Macaca mulatta: one gene and its partners. The main gene of each other region encodes a partner of the protein of the gene in region 3 in a complex. Links are inferred from orthologs where the notes say so. Each region holds a gene or a part of one and is shown on either strand. Other genes may lie near its edges.

Region 1 (4,023 bases), on a different chromosome or scaffold from region 3:
AAGCAAAAACTTGCAAGGAAACATTACAATCCAAGTAACTGCAGCACTAGACTAACAGATCAGTGTCTGAGGAGGCGATCAGACACGGAGAAGAACAGCTCTCCAAGTCCTCCCTTCTGACACAGTGGAGTGCCTCGCTGTCTTGTGAAGGCTTCATACCAATCCCTCCTTCCTGAGCAGCAGGCGCTACTTCTCTCCCTCTCTCCCAAAGGCGAAGTGAGTCCACTCAGAGCACCTCTTTCCACTCTCGGTCATGGTCCTTATCAGGCTGCTTTGTAATTTTTCCATTTGCTGACAGGTCTCCCATGGTGAGTTTTAAGCTCCTTGGGGACAGGGGAAATATCCTACTCACTTGGTATCCCTGGTACCTAAGCACACTGCCCAAGTCTGTGGAAGAGACATTCAAGGCCAGTGCCAAGCAAAATCCCTGTCCAGCCCCCACCAACCCAAACTATGGATACAGTGACTAGTAGGATCATGCACGTACTTCAACAAATACTAACCAAGTAATCTCTATTAGGACCACCAAAGACGGAGAAAACAACCCTTTCTGTCATTCAAGAACCAGCTGTTTCCAAATCTAGAGATGCTTGTTAAAATGCAGATTCCTGAAGTCTACTCAGGTAAAAGCACTGTATTTTACATTTTATGAAGTTCTCCAGATAATTTATTTAAGCAAATGGTTCTCAACTAGGGGCAGTTTCCCCAACCCCACCCCACCCTGCTCAGGGACATTTGGAAGTATCTGGGGACACTGAACTGTCAAGACTGAGGAAGGTGGTGCTACTGCTATACTAGTGGGTAGAGACCAGGGATGTTGCTAAACATTTTACAACAGGACCGCCCTCCACAACAAAGGACTGTCCAGCCCAAAATGTCAATGGAAGCTGAGAATCTCCGCTATAAGCCCTAAAAAAAAAAACCACCAACAACATTGTTCTTTGGTTTTAAAGTGAGGAGTTTTAAAGAAATCTCCAAAGTACAGCAAATGATAACCAAAAGCTACATTCTAACCAAATGATGGAGTGTAGATTATAATTAATCAGGGATGTTTTATTCTAACATAAAGGGAACCTGAAAACAACTGTCAAAATCTTGAAGGGGTTGCCATTCTAAATAATGGATTTCTAGTCTTAGCCATGAAAATAATCACTTTCCAATTTCTCAGTGTTACAGGTCCCTCCGATCATTAATCTGTTAGTACACTTTTAAAAGGAGAGAATAATCCAGGTGATGTAAACAAATTTTTAAATTCTAATATCTACTATGCCACAGTTCAGTGAGAGACTGCCTGATGCAGCACAGGGTACTCACTTGGGAGGCAGGAAACCTGAGTTCTAATCCCAGCTCTGCTACTTAATTAGCTGTGTGACTTGGATAACTCATCATTTCACTTCTCATGGCCCCAGGTTCCTCATCTGCAAAATAAGGGAGTTATGCCAGATGACCACTTAAGTCTCTTCCTGCCCTAACATTCAGGTAGTAACGCATTAACTCCAGTGACACACACACACACACACACACACCCACAAACATAAGCCTCTCAAGATTTCTGTACAATATTCAAGCAAGTAAAATTGCCAAACACCTGAAAAACTTTTTTGGAAAACACTGCAGCAATGTGTACGAAGGCCTAAAAAAGGCCTTACAGATGAAAGCATCTAATCTGATAATTTCACTTCTGAGAATCTAGTCCAAGGAAATAATCTAAAAAATAGGGGGGAAAAGGTTTATCAAAGTATTATCTGGGGTGCTAAGAGATTCAAAAATTCAAAAACAATCTATAATATCCCACAATCGGGAAATGACTGAATAATTTATGGGACCTACATTGCGATCCACAATGAGGGACAGTCAATCAAAAGAAGATACAAAACTAGAATAATATTTAGGAAGAGTTTTTAAATGGAAGTGGTAAACTATACTGTTAAGTGATTAAACATGTACACTCCTAGCTCAAGTAGAAGCTAGCATACACAGGAGAAAAAGATTGTAGGTGAAAGGGTTGTGAATACTATTTCTTCACTAAAGTCTTCCATGTTTGCAATTTTCTACAATAGTCACATATTACTAAGAGCAGTGGGGTAGGGTAATCCGCTTCATCCTAATGCTACACATCTTAAAAACGCCTGCTATGCACGCGCGCGGACACGCGAACGCACAGAAAACCTCGGGCAATAGGACTTAAGACCATACAATTGGGTTCCTAGGCCTGACAACTCAGTAAGACAGGCGAGTCGAGTCCTTAATTCCTGTGGTCAGGCGCAGCCACCCCGATGTAGGGAAGGGTTAGCAATTCCCTGAAGCCCTGGAAGACTGGCGAAGCCTAGGCCTGGGTTCGGGATCCGCTTTCCCGCCGAATCCTGGGATTAGCCTCGGGGCTCCCTGGGGAACTTCAACAACCTCAACTGGTCTCGGACGCCAACTCGGTGGGAGCCGGGACGGTGCCGCTACTCTCTGCGCAGTCTAAGCACCTCGCTGAGGGCGGTCCCGGCGCCCACTATCAGACCTCTCCGGCCATTCCGTGAGCGGAGAGCTTGGACGCGGCATTTCGCGGAAAGCTGCCACTCAGCGGCCCCTTCCCGGAGCCCCAGCCCGTTCCCCTCAGGCCCTTTCCGGGGCTGCCTCGCCCGGCCTAGGGCCGCTGCAGCCGCCGCTCCACAGCGCGACTGAACACTGGGGCGTCGAACCCGGGGCTACGCCCGGCCCCGTCATCGGCCCGCGCAGCCGTGCGGCTCACCTCGCGGGCGGGATCCAGAACCCTCACTCCAGGCGCCCCACGAGTCCGGCCTCCGCGGATGATCGCAGCCAAAAGCGAAACCGCCGAGGCAGCGGCACTTTTCTGCCTCGGCCAATCACTGCTCTTCTCTGCTACGGCAGCCCGCTGGGGCCGAAAAGCCTGTCAGCGCCGAAGCGCGCAAATCCGAGAATCCTGTTTTGTCTAGTAGCAAAATTGGTGCACTGGAGTTCCTCTGACAGAAATCTGAATACAAAACAAATATAATATAAAACAAAAACAAAAATCCAGGAAACTAGAAGTGATCTTTTGTCCAGGATTTATTTGCAGAAGTGTAAAAAATAACTTGAAGTCATAGGAAACTGGAATTTACTGTTTAAGTAACGGCACTGTGTACCCAGAAACGTCCTTGAATAGTTTAAAGCAAATAAATAAATAAAACACCTCAAGTCTTTAAATCTACCTCTGGATATTTATTAAATGTGTGAAGACTTAAGCCATTTTAGCAAGAGACTGTTTCCATGGCAATGTTGATTAAAAAATAATTAAAATCACTCAAGTAACTCCGAATTATAATGACATTAATTGTGTTACATTAAAAACTTGTTCCAATTGGAAATGGTGTGCAGACATTATTTAAGTGCTACTATGGGAACTTGGTTTGGAATTTTGCATGAATTCTCAACACTCTTTCTATTAATGGGATTGGAAGGGGGAAAAAAGAGAACTGTTACCCCAAGACTTGATTCCTTTACTCTCATCAGCTGAAAACTTACTTTAATTTTATTTATGGTTTGTAACGCTACACACAAAGCAATAAGATCTTCCAACACAGATCCTTAACCCCATTAGGTGTTATAAAATCTAAGATGCAGAATTTTTTTCTGAGATAAAGAATTCCTCCCTTGTAACCTTCTTTTGGCTAAAGGCAGAAGAAATGAACTTTTGATTGATATCAGGGACAGAAAACAAGTGGATGTGATTTGGTAAAGAATAGAGACTTCCTTATATCCTTCTATAAAAGCTCAGTTTGGGTAAAGACCAAACAGTTACTGATTTATTGAGAGGACTGTATTTGAAGTTCTTGCAATATAAAATATAATATAAATAAAAATTTTAAGAAAAGTACTGTTTAAATCAAATAATTACTTGCAAAGTACAAACATAACAGGATAAAAAGGCCTGTTCCTAAAAACTTTCTTTGCAAGACATCAAATTGCACATTCCTTACTGGTTGTTTAAATTATTAAAAAAAAAATAAAATAAAATTTTGATTCAAACTTCTT
Region 2 (4,100 bases), on a different chromosome or scaffold from region 3:
CACTCTGGTGGCTGAGGCAGGAGAATCCCTTAAACCCAGGACGGAGGGATTGCAGTGAGCTGAGATCCCACCACTGCACTGTAGTCTGGGTGATAGAATGAGACTCCATTTCAAAAAAAAAAAAAAAAAAAAATAGGGTCTTTGCAGATGTAATTAAGGATCTTGCGATGACATTATCCTGAATTTATGGTGGGCTTAATAAGAGAAAGGCGTGTCCTTATAAGAAAACGGAGAGGCTGGGCTCGGTGGCTCACGCCTGTAATCCCAGCACTTTGGGAGGCAGAGGAGGGAGGATTGCTTGACCCCAAGAGTTCGAGACCAGCCTGGACAACATAGGGAGACCCTGTCTCTACAAAAAAAGAAAAAAAAAAGGAGAGAGTCGTTTGAGACTCAGAGACACACAGAGAAGGCCAAGTGACGACAGAGGCAGAACGCGGAAGGCTGCATCTACAAGCCAAGAACTCCGAGGTTTCCCAGCAGCCACCAGAACCCAGGAGAGAAGCATAGGACACGCAGATTGTCCTCAGAGCCTCCAGAGGGAGCCAACCCTACTGACAACCTCATTTCATTATTCTGGTCTCCTGAATTATGAGAAAATCACGTTCTGTTGTTTTAAGCCTCCCAGTGTGTGGGCATTTGTTACAGCAGGCCCCAGGGAACTAATAGCATTCGCCTATTTACTTTGTTTACTGTCTGTCTCCCTAAGGGCCACGAATTTTGTGTACTGTTCATTTCTATGAGCAGAAGCAGGCACAGAATAGGTATTAAGTACTTAATATATGCCAGACGCTGTTTTAAGTGCTTTTACACGGTTTCATTCATTTCATCCTCATAGTAAGTAACGTTTTGGAGCAGACACTACTATTTACAGGGAGAAAACTGAGGCCCCGAGGGTCGTGGTCAGGATTCCAACCTACTAAATGATGTTCCCTGGATAATTACAGAATCAGAAAACTAGGAGTCCGAAGGGCGACACCAGGGACGTCCCAATCACCACGAAGCCTGGATTTCTCTCCCTCAACTGCAAAGGCAGTTACTGGCTTTGCCCACAGCGTGGAGCCCAGAAGACCGACGAAGGTTTCACCTGCGCACGCGTTTACCCACAATGCACCCCGCCCCGGCGCGCGTTGCTCCGCCCCCTTTTGTATTACAAGCCGCGGCACTTTACGGCTCTCTTCCTCGTTCCTCTGGCGGGAACACGGCCCGGCCCGCCCCTTTCGCCTAGCGGGCCCCGCCCCACTCCGCGTGGATTGGTTAACCGCCCTTCTAGCCCGGTGCTGACTGGCTCGCGTCTCTGCCACTTTCTTTCAGCCCAGTGGCGCGCGGCGCGGCGTGGCGAAGACCGCCGGGAGCGTGTGCAGCGGCGGCGGCGGAAGTGGCCGGCGAGCCCGGTCCCCGCCGGCACCATGGTGAGGGCAGAGCAACGGCGGGGTCTCACCGGGAGGCGGGAACCGCAGTCGTTAGGAGCCCTGCGGGCGGGCGCTGAGGGCTGGGTTGGCGCGGGGCGAACGTACGGTCCGAGCCTTGAGTCCCGTCCCCCGGCACAAGGCCGGGAAACTGATGCTGGAGACTGCAGGTGGTTCTACCACGTTCGTGTCTGGGATTTAGGGTTGCACGTACTCGTATCCACAGTACAGTGGCCTCGCCTTACTTAGTTTTCCCATTTTGCAGGTTGGGAAACTGAGGTTAAAAAAGTGGGGATCTGCCAAATGCAACAGAGAGTTTTTGGGCAGGGAAGGGGGTCCCTTACGCTTCGGACCCAGTCTGACCTCCCAGATTGAAACCTAGAGTGCTGGGAAGTAGGGGGCCAGTCTGAGTTGTGAAACTTGGTTTTAGGAATTTCAGAGCTTGTAAGATGCTTAAAATGCTAGCAGCAGAGCCTCCTAGGCCTCTTGTTTTCTGGCTGAAAAGTAGGCCTGGTGCTGGGGTGTGGTGTTTCTCCTTGGTTCACAAAGCATGTCATTCCAGAGGAAGGGAGCGTTTTGAGCTAGGGGTGGGCAAAGTACATCCTCCCCGTACACAGAAGGAAAAATTGCAGCCCAGGTCTCTGCAGGGCCACATTGTTTATGATTCTGTAAGTTCTGGATCTGGGCTAGAAAGTGCCTGTGTCTCCCAGTGTGCAGATCAGAAAAGGAATCCAGAGCTGGGAGTTTCCTGGCTCATCAGCATCTGGCCCTTCTTTTTTCAATGAGAGAAACCAAGGCCCTTGTTGGGGATGTGACTTCCAGACTGTGAGACAGTGGGAGATTCAGTAACCAGGAGGGCCCCCCAGGGGTGGCTGCATCAGAACTGTGGATTAGTGAGAGAGCTCTCCCTAAATCCAGCTGGTCAGTGTGTAGCCACCCAACGGGTTCACCTTGCCTGCTTCCTAGACAGAGCCCATTTATCAAGACAGGGCAATTGCAATACAGAAAGAGTATTTCACACAGAGCCAGCTATGCAGGAGACTGGAGTTTTATTACTGCTGAAATCAGTCTCCCCTGAGCATTAGGGGATCCGAGTTTTTAAAGATAATTTGGCGGGTAGGAGCTCAGGAAGTGGGGAGTGCTGATTGGTTGGAGCTTCCTGAGGTTGGAGATGGAGTCATTGGCGGGGGGGGGGGGGGGGGGGGGGCGGGGGCGGGGGTTGAAGTGAGATTTTCTTGCTGTCTTCTGTTCCTGGGTGGGATTGCAGGACTGGTTGAGCCAAATTACTGGTCTGGGTGGTGTCAGCTGATCCACCAAGTACAGGGTCTGCAAAATATCTCAAACACTGATCTTAGATTTTATAATAGTGATGTTATCCCTAGGAGCAATTTGGGGAGGTTCAGACTCTTGCAGCCAGAGGCTGTATGACCCGTAAACAATAATTTCTAATCGTGCAGCTAATTTGTTAGTCCTACAAAGGCAGACTGGTCCCCAGGCAAGAAAAGGGTCTTTTCGGGAAAGGGCTATTACCAATTTTGTTTCAAACTATACACTAAATCCCTTCCCAAGGTTAGTTCGGCCTATGCCCAGGAATAAACAAGAACAGCTTAAAGGTTAGAAGCACGATGGAGTCGGTTAGGTCTGATCTCTTTTCGCTGTCATAATTTCCTCAGTTACAATTTTTGCAAAGGCGGTTTCAAGAGCAAGGATTTAGAGAGCCTGTCCCTCTGCCATGTACTTAGAGGGCAGAGTTGGCATGCAAGACTGGGCAGAGCTGGAAGGATCCACCCGTGTTAAGTTTTGTGGAAGCAGAATCTTTTTTTTTCTTCCAACTATATTCCCAGTGTGTAGAACGGTGCCTGGGCAAAGTGTGAACTCATTCATTCAGCCCCTTCCCACCTTCTGAACATCCAGAGTCCTGGCTATCCAGCCATTTCCTGGAGGAGTGGCCAAGAATGGACAAGGCATCATGGGATACACACTTCCAGTTCCCTGTGATCAGGGCAGGGCCAGAAGGAGTGGCCTGGGTTAGGAGCGGGGATGGGCAGTCCTGGACAGCTTCCTGAATTAGGAGGCACTGGATTAGGTCTTTGTGGATCTAGACCTGAGAACCAGATTCCAGATGCTGCAAGAAAGCCCACTAAACCTCCACCTCTCGGAGAGAGTGATTTTCCTGCCTCAGCCTCCCAAGTAGCTTGGGATCACAGGCATGCGCCACCACGCCTGGATAATTTGTGTATTTTCAGTAGAGATGGGGTTTCACCATGTTGGCTAGGCTAGTCTTGAACCCCTGACCTCAGGTGATCCACCCACCTCGGTGTGTCAAAGTGCTGGTATTACAGGTGTGAGCCACTGCACTCTGTACTTTTTTTTCTTTTTTGGAACTGAGCTCTCACTGTCGTCCAGGCTGGAGTGCAATGGCACAATCACTGCAGCCTCAACCTCACCGGCCCAAGTGATCCTCCCACCTCAGCCTCCCAAGTAGCTGGGACCACATGCGTCACTAAACCTGTCTAATTCTTACATTTTTTGTAGAGACAGAATCTTGCTGTGTTGCCCAAGCTGGTCTCATACTCCTGGGCTCAAGTGATCCTCCCACCTCAGCCTCCCAAAGTGCTGTGATTATAGGCGCAAGCCACTGTGCCAAGCCTCACCTGGCACTTTGATGTATCTTCTTTTAAGATTTTGAGGATC
Region 3 (2,918 bases):
ATAAATACTCCATATTTTGTTTCTCTTCCAAGTTATAGATTTCTTTTTATTTAATTCTCATTTTATATATTTTGACTTTCAGAGGATAAAACAGTTTAAGAGCTTGAGAGATTTAACCATCAAAACCAATGTTAGTTGATAATTCTTCAGAAACTTGAATACCATCTGAGTTACTCTGTTATGCTAGACCCATGCCTTCTTTTATTCAATTCTAAACTTTCATAAAACTCTCCCTGATTATTTCCTTCAAGTTCTGGTTCTAATTAGTATAGTCACATTTGTATCTACCTTACTGGGAGAGTTCAATAATACATCCATTTGATACACATTAAACAATACATGTGAGACAGACGGAGCACCGGTAACTAGTAAGTACTCGTTAGGTGTTATATGTAACTACTAAATTTTTAAAATATTTATGGGACTGATTTGAATCTCTGAAAAATGGCAAATTATATTTACTTGTGCATGATAGTATAGAATGTTACGGTTTAGTGGTCTGACTCAGGAGCTAGTCTTTTGTGGTTCATCTCCTGGCTCTGCCACTTACTACCCATGTGCCCATAAGACACACCACTCTGTGCCTCAGTTTCTTCTTTGAAATGGGGCTAATTATAGTATTAAAGGGTAGAGATGAGTTGAGACAATGTGTACGATGTGTTTAGCACACTGCTTAGTGCTGGTATGTAGCATATAGTGATACATTACATTGCTGTAGTTGGTATGTATGGTTCTTCCTTATTTATGTATATTTGCCCATCAGTTTCCCTTAAATCTCCTTTGTTTTAGTTTATACCTTTAGCTGCTGGTCTTCGTAAGCTTTTATGCTAGTTACTTTTTGGAGATACTCAAATTAGTACATAGTTGTCGTTTCTAACTGCCGTCAACTCTGCATATGAGTGAGATGTGTGGTGCAGGACCCCCACCCCAGCCAAACAACCAAGAGGTAAATTGTGTACCCTCGAATACTGTTGGTTATAAAAAAGGTATTTTATTTGACATTGTATTGTTACTTGTATTGGAATACTTAGCAACTGAAATGATTGTGAGGCTGAATTTACACTTTCAGGTAAACCAGAATATTTCTCTTTTTCTCCTGAATATTTTCTTTACAGGGAACACTGAAAGGTTTTGACCAGACCATTAATTTGATTTTGGATGAAAGCCATGAGCGAGTATTCAGCTCTTCACAGGGGGTAGAGCAAGTGGTACTAGGATTATACATTGTAAGAGGTGACAACGTGTAAGTAAAATATATCTGTTAAAATTATAAATGATACTGCCTTACTTTTTTTTTTTTTTTTTTTTTTTTTTTTTTTAGACGGAGTCTCGCTCTGTCGCCCAAGCTGGAGTGCAGTGGCGCGATCCTGGCTCACTGCAAGCTCCGCCTCCTGGGTTCACGCCATTCTCCTGCCTCAGCCTCCCAAGTAGCTGAAACTACAGGCGCCCGCCACCGCGCCCGGCTCATTTTTTGTATTTTTTTAGTAGAGACGGGGTTTCACCATGGTCTCGATCTCCTGACCTTGTGATCCGCCCGCCTCGGCCTCCCAAAATGCTGGGATTACAGGCGTGAGCCACCGCGCCCGGCCGATACTGCCTTACTTTATGGAGAAGAGGTTTTACCCAAAGTACCCTATTGTATTGTCCATATGTAATTAATAGAATCTTGCATTCATTTCTTTTGTAAATACAGCGTTTCTTATATTTGCATAAAGTAAGGCATAGCTATACATTTTATGTCAACACTTTATGTTTCAACCAAAGCTTTCTCTCTACAAATTAAACTTACCTGAGATTTTCCCATTTTTCTACTAGTTAAGTAGCCTGGTTAGAGTCCAGAAAGGGCCCTGCCTTATATTAAATACTTCATTAGAGAGGCTTCTTCAAATGTTCTTAGAAATACCCAGAATTTTAGAGGAACATATTTCTAGAGTCCAAGGCCAAAGTTTGAAAAATGGTTTTGAAATCTCTCATTTGAACAATACTAATTCATGCTCAATAACATAGATGTATTTGTAAATAAGTACTTACTTGTTATTCATTTTCTTTTAATTTTTTAGTATCATTGACACACTTACGATGTCCCTGTGGCCTCAGTTTACTTGGGACAGACAGATATAAAAGTTTAAGAGTAATTGGCCAGGCGTGGTGCCTGTAATCTTAGCACTTTGGGAGTCTGAGGCAAGTGGATCAGGTCAGGAGTTCAAGACCAGCCTCGCCAACATGGCAAAACCCTGTCTCTACTAAAAATACAAAAATTAGCCAGGCTTGGTGGCGTGCGCGTGTAGTTCCAGCTTCTCGGGAGGCTGAGGTGGGAGAATCACTTGAACCCAGGAGGTGGAGGTTGCAGTGAACCGAGATCATGCCACTGCACTCCAGCCTGGGTGACAGATTGAGATACCTTCTCAAAAAAAAAAAAAAAAAATGCCGGGCACAGTGGTTCACGCATGTAATCCCAGCACTTTGGGAGGCGGAGGTGGGTGGATCACTTGAGGTCAGGAGTTCAAGACCAGCTTGGCCAACATGGTGAAACCACGTCTTTACTAAAAATGTAAAAAATTAGCCAGGCATGGTGGCGCAAGCCTGTAATCCCAGCTACTTGGGAGGCTGAGTCAAGAGAATTTGCCTGAGAGGTGGAGGTTGCAGTGAGCCAAGATCACAGCCCTGCACTCCAGCCTGGGCAGCAAGAGCAAAACACCGTCTCAAAAAAAAAAAAAAAAGAAAAGTGGCTGGTGTGGTTCCAGTGCCATGGCTCACGCCTATAATCCTAGCACTTTGAGAGGCCAAGGTGGGTGGATCACCTGAGCCCAGGAGTTCAAGACCAGCCTAGCCAGCATAGTGAAACCCCATCTCTCCTAAAAATACAAAAATTAGCCTGATGTGGTGATGGATGCCTGTAATCCCAGCTACTTGGGAGG
Region 4 (2,276 bases), on a different chromosome or scaffold from region 3:
TGAGGCTGACTGGCTGCCTCCAGCTGCTTCCCACATCTTTGGACCTGCCACAGTGCTCATGCCAAGGTCACCCTTCTTCTAGGCTGCTAGAGCCCACTACAGAGCTGATGAATTGTCTGACAGGGAATCTTTGCCCTGGGGCTCCACACTGGCCTGGTTGAGACCTTCTCAGAATTGCACTGTAGTGAGAAGAACTTCGTATTTCCTTTCTTTCCTCTTCCCTTACTCATTCCTGCACTGCAGCCGGAGACTGCCCACCTCTGGCCTTCTAGTTAAGCACAATAATAATGTATCCCCTTGACTCAAGCATTTTTCTACTTAGAAATAAATGCATCCTAACTGACACACCACCCACAAGCTGACAGGAAACGGCGAGCATGGTGTCTGCCAGATGTCAGACTGTAGGGTAGTTTGTGAAGATTAAAAAGGAAAATATTTTCCTCAGCTAACCACCAAATGAAAAGATATAAAACAAGAGGCTAGTTTAAAAACAGGAGAATATTTAATCCATCTAAAAATACACATCAGGAAATGAAGGAAACCATAGGAAAATCCTCCACCTCTAACAGACAAGAGTGAGGTTACTGGCTTTCTGCTTGCTCCAAGAATCCCAAGGCTTGATGTTTGGAAGAAATTATCTGTTCTTCAGCTACTCCCAGATACTCAGACATAAGTTACACACATCTGGAGAAGGGTTCTGCCCTGCTGAAGCTAGAAGGGAGCTCGATGCATGGGAGAAAGGAGCATTAATCTAGAAAAAAATGATCAAAGAACAGCTGGGTGACAGTGTGGGGCCATCCCAGGCAAGTGGGCTCCTGGTGCTCTGGTGTAGCCAGAATCCATACAAGCTGGGCTGGCCCAGGGAGGCCCCCAGTCAGCCTGTAGCTGAATAGCTACAGCTTCTGTGTTCTTATTTACCATCATCAGCCACAGCCCTCGGAAGCAAAGCCCTGGACGCCTCCTTCAAGCCCCCTGCTGGTTGGTTTCATCATTATCTCGCCTCTTCCAAATCTGTAAGAAATGAAAACACAAACTGAAGTCTAGGAGGCATTCAGTCAACAGATACTTGTCAAATACCTATTCTGTGCCAGGCCATGGATAACTCGTCATGCCATTTACAAACCTGCTATACTCCATCTGGAAATCTGCTACAGTGGCTACAGTCACTGAAGGGAAGAAACAGTTATCTCTAGGAGAGGTATCACTTTCTTCTTACAAAGCTATGGCTTTTGTCTCAATCTTCCTTCTTTTGCCAGGTACTAGGGCAGTTACATAAAGAGAAGACAGAGATGCTCTGTGCTCCACGGGTCAATCCAATGGAGAGGACAGACAGGCAAAGCAATATGGTCGGCACTAAAACAAAAGGCAAGCAGAAAGTGCTGTGGGGTCACAAAGAGAGCTCTGCCTGGGGCTCTTGAGGAGTACTTCACAGTCGACTTCTAGCCAGCCTCCCTTCCTCCTTGAAACTAGACCGCACACTTCTGCAAAACTAATCTAGCCATAATCACAACTTTCTTTGCTCACTCATACATTTTCTTATAACTATTTTCTGAAAATCTCTGCTTGACTTTCAGGGCCATATATTCTGGCCCCAACTCACTCCTAAGTACTTCCCAACAGGTACCTGGCCCTCCAACCAAGGTCCTAACTCTATCCCTCTTCCTGCCTTGGCCCACTCCTCTCACTGGCCCCATACCCCACCTATTTGTGGCTCACTAAGCCTGTGGCCAACCCACCTGAATGTAAGCCTCTGACAGTGTGATCATCTGGGGAAGGATGTCAGTCACCTGGAGGTCTTGTAATTCATACCATTTGCCTGTCCCCTGCAGAAAGTATGAAGAGCTGGGTTAGTCTGCTCTCTAAAACCAAAAGGGTGTAGAAGGAAATGATCATAGCCAAGGTTAGAAAAATTAGAATAATAGCCACTAGACATCATCCAGCAAGAATCATAAAGAAGAGAGTACATGGGCCGGGCGTGGTGGCTCACGCCTGTAATCTCAGCACTTTTGGAGGCCGATGCGGGTGGATCACAAGGGCAGGAGATCAAGACCATCCTGGCTAACACGATGAAACCCCATCTCTACTTAAAATACAAAAAATCAGCTGGACGTGGTGGCGGGCGCCTGTAGTCCCAGCTCCTCAAGAGGCTGAGGCAGGAGAATGGCGTGAACCTGGGAGGCGGAGCTTGCAGTGAGCCGAGATTGCACCACTATACTCCAGCCTGGGTGACAGAGCGAGACTCTGTCTCAAAAAAAAAAAAAAAAAAACAGAGGGTA
Region 5 (4,003 bases), on a different chromosome or scaffold from region 3:
TTTTGTTGTTGTTGTTGTTTTGAGACAAGAGTTTCACTGTTGTTGCCCAGGCTGGAGTACAATGGCACGATCTCCACTCACTGCAACTTATACCTCCCGGGTTTACAGGCGCGTGCCACCACACCTGGCTAATTTTTGGGTTTTTAGTAGAGACAGGATTTCGCCATGTTGGCCAGGCTGGTCTAGAACTCCTGACCTCAGGTGATCCATTTGCCTTGGCCTCCCAAAGTGCGGGATTATAGGCGTCAGCCACTGCGCCCGGTCAATTTTTTTTTTTTTTTTTTTTTTTAAGACGGAGTCTCTCTCTGTCACCCAGGCTGGAGTGCGGTGGCCGGATCTCAGCTCACTGCAAGCTCCGCCTCCCGGGTTCACGCCATTCTCCTGCCTCAGCCTCCCGAGTAGCTGGGACTACAGGCACCCGCCACCTCGCCCGGCTAGTTTTTTGTATTTTTTAGTAGAGACGGGGTTTCACCGTGTTAGCCAGGATGGTCTCGATCTCCTGACCTCGTGATCCGCCCGTCTCGGCCTCCCAAAGTGCTGGGATTACAGGCGTGAGCCACCGCGCCCGGCCAATTTTTTTTTTTTTTTTGAGACGAGTCTCGCTCTGTCGCCCAGGCTGCAGTGCAGTGGCATGATCTTGGCTCCCTGCAACCTCCACCTCCCGGGTTCACGCAATTCTCCTTCCTCAGCCTCCCGAGTAGCTGGGATTACAGGCGCCCGCGACCACGCCTGGCTAATTTTTTTTGTATTTTTAGTGAAGACGGGACTTCACCATGTTGGCTAGCCTGGTCTCGAACTCCTGACCTCACACAATCCATCCACCTTGGCCTCTCAGAGTGCTGGGATTGAAGGCGTGAGCCACCGCCCTCGGCCTTTTTTTTTTTTATCAGCTGAATTTAAGATTAAAAACATTTTTTAATTTTATTTTTTGAATTTTATGTTTTTACTTTAACAAATATAGAAAAGTGCACACTTCATAATCTTCACAAACTCCCCACAATTCTCGATAGGATGTGTGTAGAGGGCACGAACACATCACGCTGTGGACGGCAGGGTTATGGAAAACAAAACCTTTTGAGCTCAGACGCCGAGTGCCTCCACCCGCCTAGCAGCCCAGGCTAGGGTCCGCGCCTGCGCAATGGGAGCCGGCCGGCCCTGGAAGAAGTCGGAACGAAGGAAACCCCGCCCCTTTCCCGGCTTCCTCCTCCCCTCGGTTTTACCCAGCTTGCGCTCCCCAGCCGCAAGTCGGCCGCGCTTTACCCTTCAGCGCTTGGAGGGTTCTGCGTCCCTTCCCGCTGCGCCTGCGCGGTCCCGCCTCGCCCCACGCGCGGGCTCGCGCTTCGGTTCTCCCAGACCTGGTCTCAGCATCCGGCTCTTTTCTCGCTCCGGCCCGCTGCCCGCTGCGCCAGCACCATGGTGGGTACCGTGACGTCAAAAGGGGTCGCCCTCGGGGATCTCGGACGGTTGGGGCAGGGGGGTCTGGCCTTTGTCCCCCTAGGCTGGAGTTAGGTCCGGAGTTTTTATCTTCATCGTTAGTCCTGTTCCTCAAGTTCGTTGAGGAGACACCTGAGAGCAAATGGGATTTTTTTTTTCCATGATGAGGAAAAAAACCCCAACCCTGAGAGAGATTCAGTGGGGACAGCGGGAGACGGAAAAGTTAGACCTTAGAGCACTTCTCTGCCAGGCAAGCTTCGGCAGGGTGCGGGTGGGATGTTTTCTGTAATTCATTGAAAGGAGTGGGCAGGTACCCGAGAAAGGTGGTCGATTGAGAGAGCACACTGGGGAGGCCGAGGTATGCAGGGCAGAGCCTCTCTGGGACTTTAAGTGATGGGCTCAATGCAGTGTGCAGAATAATTTGGGCTCCAGCCTTTCACCTCTCAACCAATTATTCTTTCCTGTGAAATTTTGAGAACTGTTAGGGATGCAATGGGGTTCACAATACCGGTATTTGGTAATACTGTCAAGGGACACTCCTCCCTACCATGTTCCTTCCCACATGATGGTTTTCCCCCTCTCTCCCAATAGCTCTTCTATTCTTTTTTCAAGTCCCTTGTGGGCAAGGATGTGGTCGTGGAACTCAAGAATGACCTGAGGTAGGTACCTGTTCCAACAAGTCTGTTGGGGGTGGGTGTGCCCAGGGCCCTGGAACCTCTTTAATTTGAGAAATATTTGAGGGCTGGGTGAGGTGGAATATGTACAGAAGAAATAAATGGCCGGGTGCGGTGGCTCACGCCTGTAATCTCAGCACTTTGGGAGGCTGAGGTGGGCGGATCACGAGGTCAGGAGATCAAGACCATCCTGGCTAACACGGTGAAACCCTGTCTCTACTAAAAATACAAAAAATTAGCCAGGCATGGTGGCAGGCCCCTGTAGTCCCAGCTACTTTGGAGGCTGAGGCAGGAGAATGGCGTGAACCTGGGAGGCAGAGCTTGCAGTGAGCCCAGATCACGCCACTGCACTCCAGCCTGGGTGACAGAGCGAGGCTCTGTCTCAAACAAACAAAAGAAATAAATGGGTGGGGTGCAGTGGCTCACGCCTGTAATCCGAGCACTTTGGGAGACTGAGGAGGGAGGATTGCTTGAGCCCAGGAGTTTGAGGCTGCAGTGAGCAGTGATTACTCCATTGCACTCTAGCCAGGGCAATAGAGCAAGACCCCATCTCTAAGACAAATTTTAAAATTTAACAATAAATAAATGCCTTGTGCCTTAAATTTACAGATAAGCTTGGGGATTGTATTGTGTATTGGAAAACAATACAAAGCAATATACAGTTTAAAGAGTAAATACTGGTCAGGTGTGGTGGCTCATGGGCTGGACGTGTGGCTCATGCCTGTAATCCCAGCACTTTGGGAGGCCGAGGTGGGTGAATCACGAGGTCAGGAGTTCAAGACCAGTCTGGCCAAGATGGTGAAACCCCGTCTCTACTAAAAATACAAAAATTAGCCAGGCATGGTGGCAGGTGCCTGTAATCCCAGCTACTTGGGAGGCTGAGGCAGGAAAATCGCTTGAACCTGGGTGGCAGAGGTTGCAGTGAGCTGAGATTACACCACTGCACTCCAGCCTGGGTGACAGAGTGAGACTCTGTCTCAAAAAAAATAAATAAAGAGTAAGTACTAGGCTGGCCATGGTGGCTCACACCTGTAATCTCAGCACTTTGGGAGGCTGAGGCAGGAGGATCACTTGAGTCCAGGATGTCGAGACTAGCCTGGGCAACATAGAACCATTTCTATAAAAGATTAGCCAGATGTGGTTTACATGCCTGTAGTCCCAGCTATTCGGGAGACTGAGGTGGGAGGATCACTTGAACCCAGGAGGTCGAGGCTGCAGTGAGCCATGATTGTACCACTTTACTCCAGCCTGGGTGACAGAGGAAGACTGTCTCAAAAAAGAACAGGCCAGGCCAGGCGCAGTGGCTCACGCCTGTAATCCCAGCACTTTCGGAGGCCGAGGTGGGCGGATCACGAGGTCAGGAGATTGAGACCATCCTGCCTAACATGGTGAAACCCCATCTCTACTAAAAATACAAAAAATTAGCCTGGTGTGGTGGCGGGCGCCTGTAGTTCCAGCTACTTGGGAGGCTGAGGCAGGAGAATGGCATGAACCCAGGAGGTGGAGCTTGCAGTGAGCCAAGATGGCACCACTGCACTCCAGCCTGGGCGACCAGAGCGAGACTCCATCTCAAAAAAATAAACAAAAAAACAGAACAGGCCATAGGCTGGGCATGGTGGCTCATGCCTGTAATCCCAGCACTTTGGGAGGCTGAGGTGGGTGGATCACAAGGTCAAGAGATTGAGACCAGCCTGGCCAACATGGTGAAACCTACGTATTAGATATGCTACTGTGTATCTAATACCTAGTATAGGCCAGTTGTATGATAGGTGCTTAAGGAAAGAAAAATAATATCTGAAGACCTATTGACTAAGCACTATTCTGAATACATTTATTGATTGATTTCTCAAACACTCCTTAGTAATATGTACTATTGCTGTTATACATATGAGGAA
Region 6 (3,500 bases), on a different chromosome or scaffold from region 3:
TGATCCTCTAAGCCTAGTTAGATCCCCCTTACAAAGTCCCCTCTAGCACTGTGTGCTTACTGCTGTCGTGATAGGTAATATAATATAGTTCGCCAGTACTCTCTGTCGTTTCCCCAGGACTAAGCTACTTGAAATCAAGAACGGATTCTTAGTCATCACTGTACAGTTAGCACCTGAGTCCGTATCCAGTACATTGTGGCACTGAGTGAAAGTTGGCAGTCTTCACAAACCAAGTGGTAGCAGTGTAGGGGCTCATTGACTCTAAACTGCATAGAGTAATTGCTTATAGTTGAATTTTGGGAATTTCCAAATAGAGAAGACTGAGTGGGAGAAACCACAGTGGGAGTTTAGCCATCCCCACTTGACTCTTTGAAGGTTGTTGGAGGGCTGGGCATAGTGGCTTATGCCCATAATCCCAGCACTTTGGGAGACTGAGGCAGGAGGATCACTTGAGCCCAGAAGTTCAAGACTTGCCTGAGCAACATAGCAAGACCTTGTCTCTGCAGAAAAATTTAAAAATTAGCCAGTTGTAGCATTATACCTGTAGTCCCAGCTACTCAGGAGGCTGGGGTGGAAGGATCGCTTGAGCCCAGGAGTTTGAGGCTGCAGTGACCCATGACCGTGCCGCTGCACTCCACCCTGGGCAACAACAAGACCTCATCTCTTGAAAAGAAAAAAAAAAAAAAGGTTGCTAGGTGGTTTGAACAGTAAGAGAATAGTAGAGGCTTGCTCCCATCTTAGGGGAGCTTTAAAAACAGTGTTTAAAACTGTGTTAAAGTGTACTTTAAAAACAGTGTTATGTCAACCATGTTTAAATTCTGATCTTTTTTTTTTTTTTTTTAACAGGTTAAGAAATATCCTCTCAGTCGTCGGTACTGATGCCTTGAAAAAGACCAAAAAGGATGATGAGAAGTCTAAGAAGTCCAAAGAAGAGGTAGAACATGTCTTTAACTTCACAGTGTAAACATGAAGGAAATGAGGAGATAGGTCTCTCATTTTCTGCTTTCAATGGTTTGCTTTGCTAAGATGATGGAGGGAAGTGTCTTTGAAGGCTCTACCATTCAAGAATAGTTGCTGGCAGTAGTTTTGGTTCCTTTGTAAGTATGAATGGAGCTAAGTGAGTTTTCCAGTCAGGAAAGAATCATAGCATTCCTGGTATAACCATCTATTTACATATCATAGAAAAAAAATACGGTAGAAAGCCATATGCCTGATTTCATACTATTACCAAACGAATTCACCTTCCTTCTGGGCAGTTAACATGGAGAAACGACAGGAGTAGAATGCTTCAGATTTGACCTTTCTGCTCTTAATTTGCCTTTCAGTATCAGCAGACCTGGTACCATGAAGGACCAAATAGCTTGAAGGTGGCAAGACTATGGATTGCTAATTATTCATTGCCCAGGTAAAGAGAGCCTCCAGTAGAAGAAAGAAGCATATTTTGTGTGTGTGTTTCAGGAACTGAGTGCTTGATAATGACTGTGGTTGTTAAATGAAATTGAGGGGTAGAGATACATGTGGACCCTTGTTTACAACCCTGTTGCTCCTGGTGATGGTGTTTCTGTGTCACAGGGCAATGAAACGCTTGGAAGAGGCCCGACTCCATAAGGAGATTCCTGAGACAACAAGGACCTCCCAGATGCAAGAGCTGCACAAGTCTCTCCGGGTAAGATGCTCCCAGTGATTGTCCCACGTCTTAAAGGTTCTTCATATTTGTGTGATTTTTCTACTTTGGCCCACCTCTGGGAAGGTAGAGGTGACTAGAGCGATCCCTCCCTGCTTGAGCTGAGCTGCTGTGACATGGAAGGAGCAATCAGTTAACGTGACAGGAGCTTGCTGTGCTTTGTACTCAGCAGAGGCCTATGGTTCTCTTCTTTATTTCTCCCTGTTAATACGTCAAAGTTTCTCTGGGGTTTTCTGTTTATATTTATCTGACTCAGAAGTTGTGATACTAAGACTATAGAAAACAGCTGGGTGCAGTGGCTCATGCCTGTAATCCCAGCACTTAGGGAGGCAGAGGTGGGTGGGTCACCTGAGCTCAGGAGTTTGAGACCAGCCTAGTCAACATGATGAAACCCTGTCTTTACTAAAAGTACAAAAATTTGCCAGATATGGTGTCATGCGCCTGTAATCCCAGGTACTTGGGAGGCTGAGATGGGAGGATCGCTTGAACCTGGGAGGCAGAGGTTGCAGTGAGCCAAGATCACACCACTACACTCCACTCTGGGCGACAGAGCAACACTCTGTCTCAAAACCACAGAAGAATCTTGGGATGGGTTAAAACTGAAAAGTTGCTTTGTTGTTCTTTTTTTGGTGGAAAAGCCAAGGAACTCAGATTAACCTATTAATGATCATCGTGTGTGTGTGTTTTTTTTCTTTTTAAGTCTTTGAATAATTTTTGCAGTCAGATTGGGGATGATCGGCCTATCTCCTACTGTCACTTTAGTCCCAATTCCAAGATGCTGGCCACAGCTTGTTGGTAAGTTCCATTTTACAGTGACATTTTTTCCTAAATGGGGAACAGGCTCAGGAAAATATTAGCATTTGTCTTAGACGTCTATTTGTACGTCCTCTTTCTCTGCTTCTCATGATCACACCAAACTACAGATATCAGTCAGTGCTCTACCTGTTGTATAATATGATGCAGACTTGGTTTAGCCGTTCTCAGTCTTCACCAGTGACCCCAGAGATTCATTACACTCTAGCACTCTGTCACATTCTTGACACTAGTATTTTGGAGCAGGTCATGTAGTGAGTTTACAGACCAACTAGTATCCATAACTCAGTCTGGCTTTTCTTTTTCAGTTATGTGATCTCCCTAAGATACTTAATCCCTGTCAGCTTCAGTGTCCTTATCTGTAAAGTGGGATGAGGTAGTGTTTGTAAAGCATTTTGCCTTGACAGTGCCTGGTATGTAGTAAGGGCTCATTAAATGTTAATTATTGGTTTATCTTTGTTTTATTTTCTTATCACCACATACGCAGAAAACTCAGGATGTGGTAACTTTGTTGTTTTGTTTGAGTTTGGTTGTTTGGTTTGGTTTGGTTTTTTTTTTTTGAGATGGAGTCTCACTTTGTCGCCGAGGCTGGAGTGCAGTGGCACAGTGTCCACTCACTGCAAGCTCCGCCTCCTGGGTTCACACCATTCTCCTGCCTCAGCTTCCTGAGTAGCTGAGACTACAGGTGCCTGCCACCATGCCTGACAAATTTTTTTTTTTTATTTTTTTTTTATTTTTTTTATTTTTAGTAGAGACAGGGTTTCACCATGTTAGCCAGGATGGTCTCCATCTCCTGACCTTGTGATCCACCCGCCTCGGCCTCCCAAATGGTTGTGTTTTTTTGTGAGACATGGCTAACTAAAGAGAAAGGAAACTTAGATTTAATACACAGGAGCTACTTGACTAGGCCGACCTTGAGACTGGTTTAGGAGAAAGCCAAGGGACTGCACAAATCAGTCCACCTCTCCAAGCCTCATTACCTTCACTGTAAAGTATAAATGAT
Region 7 (4,249 bases), on a different chromosome or scaffold from region 3:
GGCGCGCGGCACCACGCCCGGGTAATTTTTTTGTATTTTTAGTAGAGACGGGGTTTCACCATGTTGGTCAGACTGGTCTTAAACTCCCGACCACAGGCGATCCACCGGCCTCGGCTTCCCAAAGTGCCGGGATTACAGGCCTGAGCCACCGCGCCCGGGCATGATTTGTTGTCAATTTGTCATCCAAAGGACCACCAGGATGGCTGGATAGTAGACAAGAGTTTTACTGTCAATGTCAGTTTGCAAACCAGGGGGAGTCTCTAACATGAACCCAAAGTGCTCTCTCAGAAGAACAGAGATTAGAGGTTTTATTTTAAAAAGAGAAATATTATTTCTCTTGGAGAAAGTTCATAGGCACCAGTAAGGGTCTGGGGAGCGAAGCCGGGGGAGCCAGATCAGTCCTGGAGGTGCAAGTTATGCTGAAGCTATGCAATAAAACTGGCTTCAGGTCGGGCGCGGTGGCTTCCTCCAGTAATTTCAGCGCTTTGGGAGGCCGAAGCGGGCGGATCACTTGAGGTCAGGGGTTCGAAACCAGCCTGGCCAACATGGTTAAACCCCGTCTCTACTAAGTACAAAAAAACTAGCCGGGCTGGCGCCTGTAGTCCCAGCTTACGGGGAGGCTGAGGCAGGAGAAGCGCTTGAACCCGGGAGGCGGGGGCTGCAGTGGGCCGAGATCACGCCACTGCACTCCAGCCTGCGCGACAGAACGAGACAACGTCTCAAAAAAAATTTTTTTTCTTTATAAAAAGACAAAAACTCTGGTTTCGGGTTACAACAGGCAGCTCAGCAGCCGGCCTGACGGTGACATTCCTCAAGGACGGCCTGCCCAGTGCTTCCCCCCACCCCGCTGCTCGGCTCTGCCGTGGCTGGGTATGGCAACAACGACACATTTTTATGGTCAAGTTTCACAAATGACACACACGAACCGTCTCGCTAACACACAGCACAAACGATGACCCGAAACAGACACCAGAAAGGAAAAAAACGAGCCGCAGTGCCGGGCATGCCGGGCCTTTCTGAAGACGTCCCCATCCGTGGCTGGAGGACAGCCCGGGCGGCGGCGGGCGGCCTCGGGGCGGGTGCGTCGGGGCAGGGCACGGCGAGCCCGGGGCTTCTCAGGACCACCAGGCCGCCTGGACGCTGGGGAGGAACCCCCACTCCGACGCCGGCTAGGAGGGCACCAACCGCGCTCCACCGTGGCCAGGTCGCCGCCGCTCCCGCCGGCCAACGACAAGCTAGCGCGGCGTCTGTACGCGCGTGACGTCAGCACGCACGGCGCCAGCCCGTGCGCATGACGTCAGCACGCACGGCGTCGGTGCGTGCGCGCCCAGAGGTTCCGCCCGGCGGCAGTGCCAGCGGAGCTTGCGGGTGTGGGTGGGACCGGGTTTCGGCTGTGGGCCCGGGGGCGGCGGGGGCCGCGGAGTGAGGGGCCGGCTGAGCCCACCACCTCGCTGGGCCCTCCCTGGCGCCCGGCCTCGGGCGGCGGCGAGCGCGCGGGTCGCCATGTCGTACATGCTCCCGCACCTGCACAACGGCTGGCAGGTGGACCAGGCCATTCTCTCCGAGGAGGACCGCGTGGTCGTCATCCGCTTCGGCCACGACTGGGACCCCACCTGCATGAAGATGGACGAGGTCCTATACAGCATCGCCGAGAAGGTAGCGCGCCGGGCCCTCCCGCCCTGCTGGCTGTGCTTCCGCAGCGGCCCCGCGCCTCTGCCCCGCCGGCCTCGCCTGGGGGCGCGAGCCGTTCCCCGAGGAGGGGCCGCGGCGCGGTTGTCCGGGCGATTCCTTCCCGCGCTGCGGGCGAGCGCTCTCGGGGACTGTGCCGGCGTTTCGCGCCTTTTTCTGCAGGGAGCTCCTGTAGTTGTTCACGTTTTAAAGGGTTTATGATCCCCCTCCCCTCGAAGGAATTCATTATTTCTGTTGGTAAGGCGTTTTTCCCAATCTTACAGTGCAGTGAACAAAGTAACACTTGCAGGTTTTGAGAGCGCAGATCCTTAATTTAAAAGGATGCCCTTTTCTGGTGCCCTGTTTGTTTGTTGTATGTGTAAAGCAGAACTTTCATGTTAATAGCATAAGAAATCCTGTTTTTCTGTTGGTGTTTTCTTCCACCGCGCTTTTTGTAAGTCATGTGATTTATAGCTTAGAGTGATTAAGATGCAGAAAACATCGGGAGAAAATAGAACTATGCTTTGTTGGAACTAGTTTTCTGAATTTCTAATATTAGTACATTGAGTGGCCTTGGCACTTACTTGCTGACAATAAAAGTTGTGGGACACTATAACCAGGTTTCATTCTTTTTCTGTGGTTCCTCACAGCAATTTTAGGATGGCGTTTATTTAGGTTTTGCAGCTGTAGCAATAGGGCAAAGGGCACAAATACTAGGGTGTTAATAAAATATTTGCCATATTAATTTTCCGTAAGTAATTTGAGCGGTTATTCATTTTGATGAAGAGTAAAAGTAACATTGAAGCTATCTTTTCTTTCACAGATGCTAAAGTAGGCTGGGTTAAAATAACTCCTTTGAGTAAAGAGTAACAGATATAAAGACATTTTATATTGAGGAAAGGAAAGACTGTCTGGCCTGCCATTTATTAATTCTTGCTATTTCTTATTTAGTAGGAGAGGTGTGATGTTAGGAACTGTTGTTATATTTTAGTTATTACAAGAATCTCTTGGAGTGCTTACTAAAATGCATCTGTGATTCTGAGTCTATGGGTGTGGGGTGAAGTCCAGCAATGGCTTTTTAAAGAAGCCCCTCAGGGAATTCTGATGTGACCTGACCTTGAACCACACACTCAGAAACCCTTCCATGGGGGTCAGGGACAGAGGCGGAGTGCTTTATTACCAGCCATCTCCCAGCCTCTTCCTCTTGGACAGCAGGACACTGAGGACTTGAGGAGCTGCCTAGGGAATCAGGAGAGCAGCAGTTCTCTCACACTGGGGCTTCTGCCAGCCAGGGATTAGAGATGATGAGTGAGGCAGTGCCAGCACATCAGCTTTTCATTGCTTGACTTGTAGTGGACAAGGGCAGATACTGGAAATCCAGCGAAGAATTGACGAAGAGCAGTTTCCCAATAAGTAAATCACTGCTTGTAAATCACTGACTTTGAGTTACGAGTTCTAGAATCTTTCACTGTTCTACCTTGCAGGTGGTGGCATAAACATCAGCTGGTGTTCAGATCCTGCTGCCGGCAGCTCGAGGCTAGGATGGCTGGCGATGTGAGGGCCTTTGTCTCATCACATCCAGGCAGAGCTCAGCAAGATGCTCTTAGCTAGGAAACAGATTTTATGTGTTAATGTAAGTGTTAGGGTCTTTGCCAGATTTGCTCTTTTTTTCCAATTCCTTTATGTCCGATTTCTTTGTTATTACAGAATGAATCACTGTATCACTAGTGGACACACACTTAAGGACAGTTGAAATGGGCTCACTTTGGGGTATTTTTTTTTTTTTTTTGGTCTTTTAAAATAGTTTGATTTTTGTTTCTGTCCAAAAATTTGGATTGCTTTATTAATAAACTTTTAATGCAAATATTATAGTATAATTATTAAAAGCGCAAACCTAGGCCAGGCACGGTGGTTCATATCTGTAATCCCAGCACTTTGGTTGGGAGGCTAGTGTAGGCAGATCACTTGAGCCCAGGAATTCGAGACCAGCCTGGACAATATGGTGAAACCCGTTCTCTACTAAAAGTACAAATGCCAGACGTGGTGGCACATGCCTGTAGTCCCAGCTACTTGGGAGGCTGAGGTGGGAGAATCACCTGAGCCCGGGAAGTCAAGGCTGCAGTGAGCCATGATTATACCACTGAACTCCAGCCTGGGCAACAGGAGTGAGACCCTGTCTCCAAAAATAAGTGCAAACCTGAAATGCATTAAAAGACTATTCGTGTTTTATTTTCTTCTTAGTATATGGGCAAAATATGACTTTCTAATTCTGGAAGCTCTTTTGGGGAAACTCAACAGAAATTTTTGAAATGTAAGATTTTAGTATAAAGAACAATATAACTATTTAAAAATTTCCCTGTGCAGAAATGGCAGATAATGGAGAATCTTCCTTATCTTGTTAAGAGTCCTGTCGATGTCCCAGCTGTTTTAAAGTGAGTAACAGTTGCAGATGTTCGGCTGGACTTGATACGATTTTTTCCTGGATGTGTTGTATTGATCTGCTGCTTCCACAAGGCCCACTGGCCTCATGCTGGGTTAGAGCTGAGCTGTGAACTTCAGGAAGAAAGTTAGTCTGGAAACA

What was found.
Region 1: LSM8 (region 3) and LSM6 share a complex: the UniProt entries of both Homo sapiens proteins name them as parts of the precatalytic spliceosome. The link is inferred for Macaca mulatta from reciprocal best matches to the Homo sapiens genes LSM8 and LSM6.
Region 2: LSM8 (region 3) and LSM4 share a complex: the UniProt entries of both Homo sapiens proteins name them as parts of the precatalytic spliceosome. The link is inferred for Macaca mulatta from reciprocal best matches to the Homo sapiens genes LSM8 and LSM4.
Region 4: LSM8 (region 3) and USP39 share a complex: the UniProt entries of both Homo sapiens proteins name them as parts of the U4/U6-U5 tri-snRNP complex. The link is inferred for Macaca mulatta from reciprocal best matches to the Homo sapiens genes LSM8 and USP39.
Region 5: LSM8 (region 3) and LSM2 share a complex: the UniProt entries of both Homo sapiens proteins name them as parts of the precatalytic spliceosome. The link is inferred for Macaca mulatta from reciprocal best matches to the Homo sapiens genes LSM8 and LSM2.
Region 6: LSM8 (region 3) and PRPF4 share a complex: the UniProt entries of both Homo sapiens proteins name them as parts of the precatalytic spliceosome. The link is inferred for Macaca mulatta from reciprocal best matches to the Homo sapiens genes LSM8 and PRPF4.
Region 7: LSM8 (region 3) and TXNL4A share a complex: the UniProt entries of both Homo sapiens proteins name them as parts of the precatalytic spliceosome. The link is inferred for Macaca mulatta from reciprocal best matches to the Homo sapiens genes LSM8 and TXNL4A.

Annotation. Positions count from the first base shown.
Region 1 is NC_133410.1:154,723,916-154,727,938, reverse strand, and holds the start of LSM6 (U6 snRNA-associated Sm-like protein LSm6), read right to left. Parts: upstream 2,801-4,023; 5' UTR 2,741-2,800; intron 1,419-2,740; exon of another isoform or gene 1,315-1,418; intron 1-1,314. UniProt on the Homo sapiens protein: Plays a role in pre-mRNA splicing as component of the U4/U6-U5 tri-snRNP complex that is involved in spliceosome assembly, and as component of the precatalytic spliceosome (spliceosome B complex).
Region 2 is NC_133424.1:18,849,963-18,854,062, reverse strand, and holds the start of LSM4 (U6 snRNA-associated Sm-like protein LSm4), read left to right. Parts: upstream 1-1,300; 5' UTR 1,301-1,406; coding exon 1,407-1,409; intron 1,410-4,100. UniProt on the Homo sapiens protein: Plays a role in pre-mRNA splicing as component of the U4/U6-U5 tri-snRNP complex that is involved in spliceosome assembly, and as component of the precatalytic spliceosome (spliceosome B complex).
Region 3 is NC_133408.1:157,720,108-157,723,025, forward strand, and holds part of LSM8 (LSM8 homolog, U6 small nuclear RNA associated), read left to right. Parts: intron 1-1,115; coding exon 1,116-1,243; intron 1,244-2,918. UniProt on the Homo sapiens protein: Plays a role in pre-mRNA splicing as component of the U4/U6-U5 tri-snRNP complex that is involved in spliceosome assembly, and as component of the precatalytic spliceosome (spliceosome B complex).
Region 4 is NC_133418.1:38,743,441-38,745,716, forward strand, and holds the end of USP39 (ubiquitin carboxyl-terminal hydrolase 39), read right to left. Parts: intron 1,824-2,276; coding exon 1,737-1,823; intron 1,012-1,736; coding exon 964-1,011; 3' UTR 501-963; downstream 1-500.
Region 5 is NC_133409.1:150,509,462-150,513,464, forward strand, and holds the start of LSM2 (U6 snRNA-associated Sm-like protein LSm2), read left to right. Parts: upstream 1-1,203; 5' UTR 1,204-1,413; coding exon 1,414-1,416; intron 1,417-2,025; coding exon 2,026-2,093; intron 2,094-4,003. UniProt on the Homo sapiens protein: Plays a role in pre-mRNA splicing as component of the U4/U6-U5 tri-snRNP complex that is involved in spliceosome assembly, and as component of the precatalytic spliceosome (spliceosome B complex).
Region 6 is NC_133420.1:45,029,425-45,032,924, reverse strand, and holds part of PRPF4 (U4/U6 small nuclear ribonucleoprotein Prp4), read left to right. Parts: intron 1-846; coding exon 847-934; intron 935-1,325; coding exon 1,326-1,405; intron 1,406-1,572; coding exon 1,573-1,666; intron 1,667-2,384; coding exon 2,385-2,479; intron 2,480-3,500. UniProt on the Homo sapiens protein: Plays a role in pre-mRNA splicing as component of the U4/U6-U5 tri-snRNP complex that is involved in spliceosome assembly, and as component of the precatalytic spliceosome (spliceosome B complex).
Region 7 is NC_133423.1:1,023,845-1,028,093, forward strand, and holds the start of TXNL4A (thioredoxin-like protein 4A), read left to right. Parts: upstream 1-1,449; 5' UTR 1,450-1,503; coding exon 1,504-1,656; intron 1,657-3,152; exon of another isoform or gene 3,153-3,265; coding exon of another isoform or gene 3,266-3,301; intron 3,302-4,249. UniProt on the Homo sapiens protein: Plays a role in pre-mRNA splicing as component of the U5 snRNP and U4/U6-U5 tri-snRNP complexes that are involved in spliceosome assembly, and as component of the precatalytic spliceosome (spliceosome B complex).